2 linked regions of the Danio rerio genome follow. Each later gene encodes a partner of the first gene's protein in a complex. Links are inferred from orthologs where the notes say so. Each region holds a gene or a part of one and is shown on either strand. Other genes may lie near its edges.

Region 1 (3,831 bases):
CTTTTTTATGTTTTCTGAGTTGTGGCTGTTTAGCAGATGAACCTCACAGGCTCACCGATTTACAATATGATCTCTCAATTTAACAAGTGTAATGTAAACTAGTTAGTTTATATGAGTTTGGAAAACATCTTTTCCTGCATTTATTCGGCTTCAGGAGTCAGTCTGATGACTGTAAACACAACAAACAATGCAATAAATAGTTTTCAAGAAAAATTTGCTGTCATTGAACCTGAGAAAAACTTTGAAAATAACTATAATGTAGTCTCCATGCTGTAATATAAACAATAAAACCATTTTTAACTGTGGGGACATATCTTTAGAAGTACAATTCAGCTGTATTATTTGTGTCCCCTTCAAAAAATCTTTAAAAAATTAATCATAAGAAATGTTATATTTATTGTCCCCCCTACTGTTAAATCAAATTAATGGTCATGGGCGCACCGCATCTAATCCTCTTTGCCATTGAAAAGCATGAGGAAGTATCTGCAGCTATGGAAGCCTTTCGCTGTTTTATAAAACAGCCGTTTTTTTGTCGTTATCTTGAGTGTACAGAAATAAAAACAGACTCTTTCATTTCCCATGATATATTATGACTCACAAAGTTATCGATTTGTGAATTTCAGGGCACCAGCAGACTCCTCTGGCCAAAGTGAGGTTATAACATTAACAGTGTAGCTAGCTGAACTACATTTCTCAGTAGCGTGACGGTAGCTTTGCTAAAAAAATCAAATACCTTTTCACAGTCGTGAAGCTATGTTATTAGTGCAGTAGTGTCCACACAAGCTACATTTAACGATCACGGATCAATACTGTTTAAAATGTGTAACACCTGGTTTTATTGGATTTTTTTGTTTTTGCTGTTATGTACTATAATGTTTTCCTGTTTGGTACAGCATATTATTTACAGTAAATAATTGAAATGAACAGTTCTGCCTCATATGTTTCATTGGCAGTTTTATTGATCACTAAGATGTGATTGATTTGGATTTAAGTGGCTTCGATTTAAAAAATTAGCAAAAATTAGATGTATTTTTTTTTATTGCAAATGACACATGAATCACCTGCACAACTAACTAACATTGTGATTTTGTAACAACAGTAAACATGTTTTTGTGATAAGGTCTGGTTTTGTGGTGGCTCTACTTTAAATTTAAATAAATTAAATTAATTTTATTTAAGTGATGAAAGCTTTTGAGATTTTAACAGTAAACAGAGCTACTGTAAGCTCACACCTGCTCTGTATAAATGCTTGAAAATTATTTAGTTGAAAATGTTTATTAAAAACTTAAAAGTAATCAAAAAGTAATCAAATGTATTTAGTTACTTTACTTTTATAAAGTAATCGAAAATTACAGTAACTTATTACATTTTAAATAGGGTAATTTGTAATCTGTAATCTATTACATTTTCAAAGTAACCTTTCCAACACTGCTTACTAACGTCAGACATCCCGAGTTGGGAAAAGTCATTTTCGGGGGATACAGAGTTGATTTGCGGGAGGTGGCGGAAGAGATGAGTACCTGAAGAGCAATGGGATGAGTTGCGCGCGAAGTACCTAAAGAGCGGTGGGGGTGACTTACGCGCGAAGTACCTGAAGAGCTGGGAGGGATGCGGTGGAGAGGGGTGTGCAAAGTGTTTAATGACCGGGCGGGAGACGCGCGATTTCCGGGAGATTATCATTCATTTGCGGGCATCTACTTGGGCATCTGGGAGTCTCTGCATTTTTCTGGATAACGTTAACATTAGTCCCGCAACTTTCCGGAGACTTCTGTAACGTTAAATGTCTGAGAAAGTGCAAACGCGGTCATTTAAAGACATTAATGTTAACATTCCAACGGTTAATGGTTGTCAACACTTAATATAATTCAAGCGTACGTTATCACGCGAGTCTATGGACTAACGGTATATGGACGACCACGAATGAACCCGTTTAAAAGGGCCGCAGTGTTTAAAATAACCAAATTAACGTACACAAATAACAAACAATCATATGTTTTAGTCAGGAAGCCTTTTACAAGTAATATACAAGTACATATGTTCATTTACTCACCAGATATGTTTCAGAAACTCTCCAGAGCTTATGGAAACCGTCCTGTGTTGCCGTTAGCATCCGGACAGAGTAGGCTAACGTTAGGCTGCTCCGGGGATTCCCTCGCTAGTTTGCTTCGAATTAAAGGAGAAGTGTCGATTTTATTTTACAGATGGGTAACAACGCACAAAATGGCATTAAGCATGACAGAAATGTGTTGAAGATGTACATTTGATGTTTTTTTGCACTATGTATGCGTGAGCATATAAAAACATTCTTGAAAAGAAGTCAATAGTAATGCAGTTAAGCTAGATACACAAACGACCATGAATGAACCGCAGAAGTTTAAAATTGTCACTCCATTCTAAAGTTATTAACTTAACAATATGTTTACAACTGTATTTCCTTAAAGAAAGTCAGTAAAATACCAACATTTAGGTAGTTTGACTGACCAGTTGCTGTTCTCAACATCAGATGGAAAATGGCGTCTGGAAAATTCTTCAGTGACTGGGGCCGCATGAATTCCCGGATGTTGGAAATAACACCACCAAGTGTTGAAAAGATAACTCCTTGATTTCGCACTGAATAAAATCAATTCTAACTCTTATTATATTCATTTATCAAAATCTAACTCTTTAACGTCAACACTTCACTCTGAAATGCTTCAACACCAAGAATTTAACTCTGATGAATTTGCTGTGCATACGCAGCGTGTTTCAATGGTGTGTATTGATTGTGTCCATCAGATCTTGTGGAGATTGGGCACAGAAATCCTGCATCATCTCCCAAACACTAGCAATGAAGATTTCAACGCTTTATATGAACAGCTGAAGAACGTCGGGGTCCTCAACTTCTCAAAGGTGCGTGCTATTAAACCTCTCAAACTTTCCATATTTACTCTGCATTCAGTGTCTAGCATGTATTTCCAATAGCAGAGCGCCCCAGTCTGCATCATTATCAGCATGTGATTCGTTTACTTGTGATTGTTGTAGATTAGTCTGGAGCACTGCTATCATCTCCTGCTGAACGGACAGATGGATGAAGCCAAACGGCAGCTTTCCATCGCAGAGAGCTGGAGATATGGAAGGGTATCCCGATCTCAATCACTGAGCAAAACGCTGATCACAGCCTACTGCGGCTTACTGGATTACTTGATCTGGAACGAGAAGAAGTCCTCTGTGTCTGAAAACGGTAACATTTAATACACTGACATTAGAAAATCTAGCATAAAGTGTCCTGTTGTGCATTCAAACTTAAAGGGTCACGAAACACCAAAACACATGTTTTGAGCTGTTGACAGTCGTATATGTGTCCCACACTGCTAAAAACACTATTAGGACACCTATATTTCACTAAAAAGTGTAAATTGGTTGTTTTTGCGTTATTCCAAGCAAATTTGTACTTCCGGTTTGAAACGAATTTTTGAAGCTGCGTCACGGTCATGACATAATAGCGTGTATTCCAGCGTGCAGACTGGACGTCTGTGCCAGAGTGAGTCTTATTACGTCTTACAGTGTGATGCATTAATGCATGAGTAAGGCTTGGTTCAAACCAATCAGCGCGCTCTATTGTGCAACTTCATTAATATTCATTACTGTCACAATGTAGACAGCAAAGACGCCACGTTGTATTGGCAAAACAAGCGTGAAGTGTTGCTTTTATAGTTTGCTGCCGTTAAGTTTCGTTTTCATTTTCTCTCTGTGAGAGCTCAGCTGGAGTCACGTGTGGATTAACAGTGTACGCGACGCGCGACAACAATAACTTACGTGTCCAAGGAGGATTATTGTTTACCTGAGAGCTGT
Region 2 (4,289 bases), on another chromosome or scaffold:
ATACAATCATTCTAGACATTCAACATAAAAACAAAACATGAATATCTTTCTGAGATGTCTTTTGGGGATAGTTTCTGAATATTGCTGCCCTCAATAGTTACAATGCATACACCTGTTGATAACTATGGAATATTAAATAATTTAAATATGTTATTACATTTCATAAACCGTTTTAATTACTTGTGCTTACACTTGATTTAGTTATTAATGGCCAACATGTGTCCTGTGGATTTGAATTACCTTCAAATGCAAAGTATATCTATCTTTTGCTCTAAAAATGAACATTAGTTTTAAAAAATCATAATAATATTTAAGGAATTAGCAGTATTTCAGTATTATTGAAACAGTAACAAAACATTTCAGTATATCAAAAAGATAAACAGCTATCAATAATTAGTAACTCTATTAATATGAATAAATGACAATTGGCTGGATCAGCTTGTTCTGACATATACCTTCGTTATAAACACATTATAAATGGGAATGTTGATATGTATTAAACACATTGCCGAGAAACAGAAACTGAAAGGGTGAGGCGGGATTACGACTGCCAGTAAAAAAAAAACACATTACAAACATAAATACTAACAGTGTACAGACTATCTGGTTATACCTATAAAACATATAATAGTATATAATACTGACAGTAAAGTTTTGCAAACTTACCCGAGAGCTGAACGTTTAACGTTACTGGCAGTTTTTGCAGCTGCGACTCACTAACGTTACTTCCTGCTCTGAGACCGTCAACAACACCGACAAATCAAGTGACAATGTACGAAACACATTTCACTCATACAAAAAATCAAATAATAATTATTCATTAATAATAACACATTTCTGTTAGTAAATAAATGTGTTTAGACTGTTTCACAATTTCAGGACAGGTTTAATAACAGCGTTACACATGAATTAATATAAACCATTAGCGTTAAACAAAAAAGTACACAAATAATACGTCTTCATGGTTACGTACGTCTGTCACTAAATGAATGTTTAAAAACGTCGCCGCGAAGTTTTTCTCCGCCATCTGAAATTGCTGGCAGTAATAAAATAAAAGTCCCAGATGAACCTGTAAGTCTCTGCGTAAAATGGTAATGTCCTCCCTCCTGGCGGCGTATGACGAGATTGGTTCAATTCTTGCCAACCAATAGCATTGTTCGTTACTGTGATGTGATGTCGCTTGTGCGCATGCGTGAACGAAAAACGTTTCGAAGCAAACAGAGAGCTCACGCGTGAAAGGTAGCTAATGCTTTGAATGTTTACATTTCGTACTCGTTTGTACACTGATAAATGACAGGATGAATGATATGTGCGGGGTTTTATTGCAATTTTAATATGATGAATTACGTGTCTTGTTGGGTTTATAATGGAAGAACGTGTTTGTGCATAGTGCAGCATCTCTTAAATGTGCTCTTACGATAGGTTTAGGTCAAATAATGTGTAATATTCTAATGAATTTATTCAATTTAGACTATATAATCATGTTTGTGTGTTTGCTTTAAGCCATGGATTCTCAGAAAGACATTCAGCCCCCCAAACAACAGCCAATGATCTACATTTGTGGAGGTGATTGCTCTTTTGATTGTATTTATGTTTATAATCTATATGTATATTGATCTATTAGAAGGTTTATGTATTGATTATATTTTTGTAATCAGTCATTTCTTTCTTAATGCTAAACAATCAAGATGTTCACAATCTAGTCTGTTTTTGAGCTTGAAATTTTGTGTGTGTGTGTGTGTGTGTGTGTGTGTTTGTTTCAGAGTGTCACACAGAAAACGAGATCAAGGCCAGAGACCCCATCAGATGCAGAGAGTGTGGTTACAGGATCATGTACAAAAAGAGGACCAAAAGATGTATCCTTTATCAACTAAACCAATGCTTTGTGGTAGGCCTGGTTGATACGACAAAAAAAGTTGATTAAATTAATTTCACGCTATAATCCTCTCATTTGCTAATAATGAGATATGTCATGATATAGTAACTAGGGATACAACAATACAGTTAGCCTTAGTAAGAGGTTAAGGAGAAAAAACTTATTGCAATACTTCTTTATTTTACTTGATAGCCAAGAAAAGTACACTAGTTTGTAGTTTAATGTATAATAAAAGTAAATTAACTGAAATCTCACAGCTGCTGGTAGCTTATGTACAAACTGGGGAACACGTATATTCCTACATTTTGAAAATACACATACATGTGAAAAATAATTTCAAATAAACATATTTGATGTAATTTTAAGCTCTGGATGTTTATTAGTTTTACATTTTCTAAATGCATATTGTGTCACTGTTTTGGAGCACACTAGCTAATAGGATTGGGCGATGTTGACCAATTTGCCATCATATGATGTATAATGTGAAACAAAGTAATGGACGATAACATCGTTATTGTAGGCGTCAGTGAATTAATTATTAATTCATAACGGATTAATTATTTGTAGCCCATGTTTCAACTACCTGACCCACAAGGTCTTTGTTTTACCCATAACCAAATCAAAAATAAATAAAGTTGCACACAAATTACCACCTTTCAATCACTTTTTCCATTGGACTCTGGCATGAATAGGCCAATAGAGTGATCTGTGTCTTTACAATGACATTGACAAACTTGGTTGGGAAAAAAAGGTGCACAACCAACCAACTGTATCTGAGGTTTTCACTAAAATTACTAAGTATAAGCATGAAAGCGAAACACCGAAGCAGTGTACTGATGCTGTGACACATTACCTGATAGATTCAAAAGACCAAAATGTCTGAAGCTCTGATACGAATGTATACTGCAGGCATAACAGTGTGCATTTTCATCGATATCGAGTGGAAGGAAGGCTTTTCAGAAATGCTAGATGAAACGCCTGTGTGGACGTAGGTCGCTTTTGTTCTAAAATGCCATTTTAAAACTAAGATGTATTAAGGCTGATTTATACTTCTGGGTCAAACACCGGCGTATGCTACGGCGCTGACGCATAGCCCTTCGCCGTGGCCATCGCCGTCACTGACGTGCACCTCTCAAAAAATGTAACTACACATCGCAACAACGCGTAGCGCAAGCTCTGTGATTGGTCGGCTTGGTAGCGCTGACGAGTCTGGGCGGGACCGAGAGCTGCGCGAATGGCGCGACGCCGCGCGAGCGATTGTTTACAAGTGTGGAGTCCCGTGATGGAGCTCCGGATGGAAAGTTTTGTTTTGTGTTTACCTTATAGTTAAAGTTGTTGCACGTCCGCCGGTTCCTGCCTTAAAATGAGCGAGTTTGAGCCACTTGTACATCCCAGAAGTGTTCAGGAAATGCAAAAAAGTAGCGAAGAAACTCAACACAGAGGAACATTTACACCTCACTGCCAACTAGCGTTTCGGAAGTGTTAATGCAAACCGACAGAGACAGCGCGCAGAAGTATAAATGCACAGCCACGCGCGTTGCCTGCGCCGTGGGTTACGCCGGTCACCTGACGCAGAAGTATGAATCAGGCTTTAGTGTAAACGGGGCCTAAGTGTGTATTTTTCACAAACGGATTGCTGCTACGGTGGGGTGGAGGTTAGCGATGCCAGCTCAGCATCGATATGTCTATCGACGATGGCTTCGTCCATCGACCCAACCCTACTAGCTAATAGATATCCTTAAAACTAACATCTAAAAAAAAGTTTAGTTTGAGTTTCACAGGACCTTTAAAAAAAGGCAAACTAATGAAACTGGCCTAGAGAAAATTAAAGGGCGCCAACCTCAGTATATTGACCACATCTCAAGCACTATTTGTTTTTGTTCTTTACATTTTAAAGTATATACTCAGAAATGCGCTCATTCATGTGTGAACATATTTCTTACTTCATTTAGAACTTCAAAGCAAATGTTTTTAGTAAAGATGTAGAAATATGAATAAATTCTTAATAAAATAAAAACACACTTTAAATACCAAATGATTACAACGATTAATCCAACATAATGTAAAAAATATTGCTAAATAAAATGCCAAATGTAAACATTGTTCTTTCTAGATTGCAAATTTCCCATATGATGCCGTTGTTCATGTTTCTGTCTGCATCCGTAAACAAAGTAAATGATAGAGTATAATATAAAACAACAGACTTTGTTTATTGCACAGCCCTACTTGGTGGTTGAAATAAGTTTATTCAAACAAAAGTAACTTTATTCTATTATTTACTTAATTTCATTGGGCTATTCCAAACATTAACCATTAAAAATATAAAAGATGTTAAATGTTGTAGTTATGAGCTGTTCAATAGGCCATTAACGTTATTAATGCAATTTCATTTTCCTAGTTTTTTTCTGTTTAA

Evidence for each region.
Region 2: taf1a (region 1) and polr2k share a complex: the UniProt entries of both Homo sapiens proteins name them as parts of the pol I pre-initiation complex. The link is inferred for Danio rerio from reciprocal best matches to the Homo sapiens genes TAF1A and POLR2K.

Annotation. Positions count from the first base shown.
Region 1 is NC_133195.1:55,132,150-55,135,980, forward strand, and holds part of taf1a (TATA box-binding protein-associated factor RNA polymerase I subunit A), read left to right. Parts: intron 1-2,050; exon of another isoform or gene 2,051-2,163; intron 2,164-2,481; exon of another isoform or gene 2,482-2,544; intron 2,545-2,775; coding exon 2,776-2,889; intron 2,890-3,021; coding exon 3,022-3,220; intron 3,221-3,831. UniProt on the Homo sapiens protein: Component of the transcription factor SL1/TIF-IB complex, which is involved in the assembly of the PIC (pre-initiation complex) during RNA polymerase I-dependent transcription.
Region 2 is NC_133194.1:13,081,210-13,085,498, forward strand, and holds the start of polr2k (DNA-directed RNA polymerases I, II, and III subunit RPABC4), read left to right. Parts: upstream 1-1,159; 5' UTR 1,160-1,239; intron 1,240-1,503; 5' UTR 1,504-1,505; coding exon 1,506-1,566; intron 1,567-1,763; coding exon 1,764-1,856; intron 1,857-4,289. UniProt on the Homo sapiens protein: DNA-dependent RNA polymerase catalyzes the transcription of DNA into RNA using the four ribonucleoside triphosphates as substrates.